2 linked regions of the Saccharomyces cerevisiae S288C genome follow. The gene in region 1 interacts genetically with each later gene. Each region holds a gene or a part of one and is shown on either strand. Other genes may lie near its edges.

Region 1 (4,516 bases):
ACTTCTCATAATGAAACCAAATAGAGTGCCTATATTAACAACATTTTCTTCATGTAAACAATATTGGCCGCGCTGATGACGAACGACATTCAAATGTCTAAAACGGCTAAACTTAGTGAATACATTTACAAATTCATTTCTGTTTCGGAGGGGTGACAGAATGACTATAAATTCCATGCTTAAGACTTATCGCCGATATAAGTAAATATTGAAATGAAAATTAATCACCATCGACCGACTAGAGTTCGCATAAGTATATTATCGTGTACGGTGTAAGAATATAAATAAATGACGAACGGTCGTCAAACTTAATGGGAGCTGAAACACAAGGATCCGAATTATGATAGGGTAGTGAATGGCGACACATAAGCGAATAAAGAGAGATCATAATGCTACTGTGTAGAAATATTGATCACTTCTCGTGGGTTCGTAAATCCTCGGGGAAAAACTACAGTATACTTTGTATTCGCAAAAATATTACCGTTCCAAATAATAGTATGCCAACGATTATCAGCAAGTTCATCTCATTCACAGTACCCAGAAATACGAAATGAACAACTTTACACAACGATGATTCCTTTTCTCATAATACTTTCATTCGATTCATCCTTATATATTACTCACACACATCAGTTGCTCCAAAATCTAATAACACTGTGATCCCTGTTCTACTACTCTACTTTAATTAATTCCATCTTTTAACAACCTATACTATGGAATATAATTGATAACGATTTTAATTTTTTGAACGAGTAGCCGATAGACCAATATTACCTGCTGTTAGAATCAAATATGAATATAGACAATGTAATTATGTAACCAGAAGGAATCACAAGAAAACAGAATACACAAATAATCAAGTTAGTATGGCAACTTGGCCGAGTGGTTAAGGCGAAAGATTAGAAATCTTTTGGGCTTTGCCCGCGCAGGTTCGAGTCCTGCAGTTGTCGTTATTTTTTGCCTCTTGATGGATTTTTAAGTTTTGCGCTCATGCTTGTTATGATAATAGGAGAGCGAAATGCGGTAATTTTGTTTACGTCCATAATCATTTTTTCGTTTTGAGATTATTTCGGATCGGCAAATGCATTTTTTTAGCTCTGGAAATGTTGTTTTCACTTTTTCGCTTGCTTATGTGCATCCTAGGACTTTAGTTCACACCATCGATTATTTCTGTTAGGTTACACAGCATCTTTTACGTAAATGGCATGTGGCGATTCGCCAACTGGTTTCTCCTCATCGTTCCTAGCGCGGGGCTGACGGCCTTCCTCTGTGTTTTCAGGTAGTATCATCGCTATCGCACTCCACCAGCTACGAAGCCGGTGCAGGCAGAAACATTACTTGCATAGTAATACACGAAATTTATTTACTTTAAACCTTTATATCGAATTTATATCCCTAAACATTGAATTCTTCTCTTTTTTTTTCTTTTTTTAATTAGTTTTTTTCCTATTGTAGTTTTTTCCATCGCAAGCTAGATAAATATCTTCAACTTATTCACTTTGGCAGGACCAGATTTAACTGACTTGTGTAGCTAAGGAACGTGAAGGCTGAACAACAGCGGGAACTAAGTGCAGAATATATCGGCAGAAGTTTTGCAGAAATAACCCCTCATTAACACTCACTCTCATCCTTCAACTGCTCGAAAGACGGTTAACAAAAACCATCAAAAAGCACTCTGTTACTTAAATATAATGCAAAAATCCGTTAGAGTGGGCGACTATTTTGACAATGATGACAATGGTTTGTGGTCGTGGTACTTAACAAACCTCAGATTAGGCGATTTTGAAGAACTTATAGGCAATCAATTAAAATACACTCTGTTAAAAAGATTTCTGAATAGTCATTTTTATGGTGATAACAATATTTCGGCCAGGCCAAACAAGAAGATTTTGTTAGTTTCCATCCCAGAGAATGTTCATGAAGATATCTCCATATTGGAAATCTTCCTCAAAGATTACTTTCATCTGGAAAAATTAGAACACATTCAAATCTCAAAATTAACTCACTCCCACTGCTACAATCATGAAAATCATTACCTATTGACGGACAACCTCAACAATTTCCAAGACCCTACCTTTTTAGAATTTGCGAGTACAAGTTGGCAAGTTCAAAAAAATTCCAAGGCTTTAAACAATAACAATAGAAATTCAATACCACCACCCACAATATCTTCATCAAAAGCTTCAAACGGGAAGCTAGAATCAAACGTTTCGGATGATCAGTGGTCAAATATAAATACCCAGACTTCAACAGCTACCCGAACTAATACGAATACGAGGACTTTGACATCTCCGGACACAGTTGATATAAACGTTACATCCGTGAATAGTCAAAGCAATAATAATGATACGCCTCAAGATAATGAAAACGAAGTTGATGAAGAGGATGCCACAAGTTCTATAGTCCTAAATTTTTCTCATTCGCGAACAGTAGATTCAAAGCCTAATAGACTACCCAAAATTTTTCCATCATACACTAATGAAGACTATACACCGTCACATTCCGAGATAATGTCAATAGATAGTTTTGCTGGCGAAGACGTATCATCCACATATCCCGGACAAGACCTGAGTTTAACTACTGCCAGGCGCGAGGATGAAAGTGGTCAGGATGAAGTTGAGGATCATTATAGCAGAGTCTCACATGATCTAGGTGACGAGAGTATCGATCAAGCAAGTTATAGCATGGAAAGTTCGGTCAGCTACACTAGCTATAGTAGTAGCAGTAATAGTAGTAGTGCCCACTACAGTTTAAGCAGTAGCAGCCGAGGTAATCCAAAACGTGAAAACATCGATCACACGAATGCCACCTATGTCTCTGAATTGTCAAGTATAACGAGTTCTATAGACAATTTAACTACTTCGACAACCCCAGAGGAGGAGGATAATTTAATTCATCATAACTATGACGCCCAAGGGTATGGATCAGGAGAGGACGATGGAGAAGAGGTTTATGATGATGAAGATCTTTCTTCTTCCGATTACTCAGTACTATCCATTCTACCGTCAATCTCAATTTGTGATTCTCTAGGGTATTTTAGGCTAGTTTTGCAATCTATATTAATTCAGGATCCAGACACCAAAGAAATTTTTACTGCGATTAGACAGTCAAACAATAAACCTACAATGGCAAGCGTTACCGATGATTGGTTGCTGTATGATTCCAATTTTTCAATGAATAATTTACAAATTCTAACACTTCAAGATTTGCTAGATATCAAGAGATCATTTCCAAAAATTTTATTTTACACAATGGTTATTGTGACAAACTCCGGCAAACAGGTTGAAGAAGAATTCAAAAATCCCAATTATGATAATAGGGAAGGAATATCAAAAGAGCAACCTCTAGATTCTGAGTTATCATTAACTAACGACCCGCAACAATATTTCCCGACTGCATATAATAACGGTTACAACGACTATATTGACGATGAAGACGATGAAGACGATGGTGACGATGCTTCTTTATCAGAACAGTCAGGCCCACAAATGTACATACCAACTAGAATGGAATCTAACGTTACTACAGCACATCGTTCTATTAGAACCGTAAACAGTATCGGGGAATGGGCATTCAATAGACATAATTCTGTTACAAAAATCGATAAAAGTAATAGTAACGAGTTGGATAACTCTAAAACAGGTGAAAGTACAGTTTTATCAAGTGAACCTCATCCAATGACACAACTGTCGAACTCTAATACGACTTCCTCGAATTTTAGCCATTCTTTGAAGACAAAAAATTCTCACAAACCTAATTCCAAGGGTAACAATGAAAGTAATTCCAAAAATGAGTTGAAAAAGATAAAGAGTTCCATCAATGCTATGAGTGCCGTGGAAAGGTCCAAAAGTTTGCCTTTACCTACATTACTAAAGTCTTTAAGCGGCATAGATAACCCTACTCATGCCACTAACAAGGATAGAAAGCGTTGGAAATTCCAGATGAATAGGTTTAAGAATCATAAAAACAGTGGTTCTGCAGGTACGGATAAATCTCAGCGTTGTGCCATCATGTAAAGAATACTTTACCACTATATATAGATATATATATATACTTGTATTATAATTATAATCATTATTGGTACTATTGCACTTACCAGTTTCTATATTGACATTGAAGGTGATACAGAGAATTCATACATAGTCTAAATATATTTAAAGTATAGGTTGTGTACATAAAAAAATACCGAGGTGATACAATCTACCTACTTTCGGCGAAAAGGCGAAGCAAGGTAAGTTAAAAAAGTTTAATTGTAACATTATAGAAAAAGTTCTTTCGGTTACCCAGTTTTCCATAAAGTTCCCGCTTTAGTTCATATGCTTATTCAAAGCTAATTGAACGTCTTCTGCATTGATGACAACCCCTCTTTCTGAACATTTTGCCTTTGCCATTAGCTCGGAACATAAACCATCGACATCAATATCTGAGTATTTCGGATGTGTTGTTATTCTATCCCAAATTTCCGAACACCTTAGTAAAGAGCCTTCCTTAGATGGAACGACATCATTATCATTAT
Region 2 (2,823 bases), on another chromosome or scaffold:
AGAAACATGGGCACTGTTAATATACCTTCAAGTCTACATACATATATATAAACTGCATTTGGCTATCTATCGAACGTAAGCAGGAAAAAAATGGCAATTCGATTGAAAATCCAAAACCCTTTATGATACTGAAGACAACTCCAGTAATTGAATAGGTATGGAATAGTAATTCTCTGAAAACTCCCTTGAAAATTGGGAGGCAATGATACTCCTATTTGTGCTGCATCTCAATTGTTGTGGTAAATAGCGTCCTAAACTTTTTTTTTTTCCTATATATAGATGGCGTCGCTAAAATGGGAAGCTTTGAAAAATGTAGCGATGAGATCACATTAAAAGGGTACTGTATGTGCTCTCGAGACCTTAGCACAAATTTTTGACCTGCGTAGACAGAGATGGTTGGGCCTGGTCTGGGAATTAATCGAGTGAGGAGAAAAGGTGTTTATTCCACAAAAAAGGGAAGTGGTGATAACTTACTGTTAATGAAAAGACAAGGAAAACATGACATACATGATAGAGAAAGTGACGACTTATCAGGCCATGATGCCTTTTCCCCCTCAAAAAAGCGCGGCAAAATAGACAGTATCACAGAAGATGAGATTGAAGTAAAAAAGCTTTCCACTGTGGCCACATTTGATAAACTTTCGAGGTCATTTCCAAATTCAGAAGTACAAGCCGCAAAGAATGCAGCACTCAGAGGAAAAGAAAAAGAAGAAGAGAAGGTCGTTTCTATCCCACTAATACAGAATTTGAAAAATGAAGATATCGAGTCTATCAAATGCAGGAACAATAATCTTTTAGACGGTAAAAAATTACTCTTGGAGGCAGAACTATCGGCAGTTGAAGATAACCAAATCTTCTCCTCTTCATTTCCCGAGGATAAAAAGCTATCGTTACAAAGTTGTTTGAGTTCTAAAGAGCAGATAATCAAAAAACTTCAAGTAAGGGAAGAATACATGAGCAAGTTCAAACTACCACCCATGTTGTTTTCGGATGAGCTACTCACTGAAGTAGAACCCTTCATGCCCATTGTAATGGACATATTGGAGGGAAAGATATCGTCTGTATACTATTTTGAAGCAAAAAATGCATTCAAAAACTCACAAAAGGCTTACTTGTCCGTAGATGAGTTTAGAAAGTTGAATTTAAACAAATTTACTGCTGGATTTTACGGCCTGAAAAGGCAATTGAGGGTTGGCGAAGAAATCGCTAAGAGATATAAAAGGGCACTCACGCACAATCAGCCCGCAACCTTAAAATGGTGGGGGATAACAGATTTCTGTAACTACGTTTTGGCTCCAGAAACCCTTACGTCTTTTTGTATTTACCAATTAAATCTCTCGAATAAATCTTGCTCGTCGAAGACACCGAATAAACATCCAAAGCAACAATTAAACGAGAAGGAATATTACTACGATCCCGAATTAAGGATGCTAGCCTATGACTTACTCGAGGATACAGTTGAATACGGTATCATAGTAGCCGACTCTGATCCAATTGAGCAATGGGAAGCTGCCATAGAGGAAGACCGTCTGCGGGAACTGAAACTCGATGTTCATAACTATTCCAGCAGGAGATGGCGACTGGATACGCACGATTAAACAGGTAGTATATTGCCGTTTGTTGCCTTTATGGCTTAGGGATTTGAGCTTTATAGTAAGAACTGCTGTGGTGTCATGATAGACGAAATGCTGAAAAAATTTTCTTTTCGTTCCTTTTCTCTTTTGGCAAGAGTTGTAATAAGGTCATCGATGGATTAGAAATGCTCTTTCTGCTTTGGGGGCACTTGAGGATTGTATTATTTTAAGGCTTTCCCTTCAGAAATCAGGAAAAAAGAAAAGAATACGAAAAAGATGTCTCAAAAAGCTTGTTACGTTTGCGGTAAGATTGGCCATTTGGCAGAAGACTGTGATTCTGAAAGACTATGTTACAACTGTAACAAACCCGGTCACGTTCAAACGGATTGTACCATGCCAAGAACAGTTGAATTCAAGCAATGTTACAATTGTGGTGAAACCGGTCACGTTAGAAGTGAATGTACTGTGCAACGTTGTTTCAACTGTAACCAAACCGGCCACATCTCCAGAGAATGCCCTGAACCAAAGAAGACCAGCAGATTCTCCAAAGTTTCATGTTATAAATGTGGTGGTCCAAACCATATGGCTAAGGACTGTATGAAAGAGGACGGAATTAGTGGATTGAAATGTTACACTTGTGGTCAAGCTGGCCACATGTCCAGGGACTGTCAAAATGACAGGCTTTGTTACAACTGTAACGAAACTGGCCATATTTCCAAGGATTGTCCAAAGGCTTAGGTGAAACATCCACTGAAAAAAACAAAGGAACAATCACTTATCATGCTATATTTCATAGAGGGGAAAAAAGAAGCACAAGTAAACTGAATATTTAAGTTTATTTTCTATATCTTTTCTATACTTCATTTCACTTGTTTCCTCCCTTGGTTATTTTTAACGATTCTTTATTATGAAACAGGAAAAAAAATTATTACAAAACAGAATTACATATTTAATCTATATAACTAACCTTTATTCCAAACCTTTATAAATAGCATCTGCTAATTTAATGCTCTTCGAACAATTTTTAACGTCATGGACCCTAACCATGTCGCTGCCGAAACCAATACACGACGCTACCACCGCTCCAGTAGCAAAGTCTCTTTGCTTCGCATCCACATCTTTTGTGATATGTCCAATGAATTTTTTGCGCGATGGACCCAATAAAACGGGCATATTTCTGAGGTTAACATACACTTGCGAATTGTTTGAGTTCATGGTGAATGAGTAGTTCTTTAAAATGGGGATATGT

Evidence for each region. Genes that interact genetically often act in the same process or in processes that back each other up.
Region 2: of GIS4 (region 1) and GIS2, extra expression of one rescues a mutant of the other (dosage rescue), as found in Saccharomyces cerevisiae (one study listed by BioGRID).

The regions. Positions count from the first base shown.
Region 1 is NC_001145.3:255,592-260,107, reverse strand, and holds GIS4 (Gis4p), read left to right. Parts: upstream 1-1,691; coding exon 1,692-4,016; downstream 4,017-4,516. Other genes in the region: DNA-binding transcription factor YAP1, read right to left, coding at 4,308-4,516.
Region 2 is NC_001146.8:166,818-169,640, reverse strand, and holds GIS2 (mRNA-binding translational activator GIS2), read left to right. Parts: upstream 1-1,850; coding exon 1,851-2,312; downstream 2,313-2,823. Other genes in the region: RTC4 (Rtc4p), read left to right, coding at 393-1,598; trifunctional dihydropteroate synthetase/dihydrohydroxymethylpterin pyrophosphokinase/dihydroneopterin aldolase FOL1, read right to left, coding at 2,544-2,823. UniProt on the Saccharomyces cerevisiae protein: May act in the sexual differentiation pathway.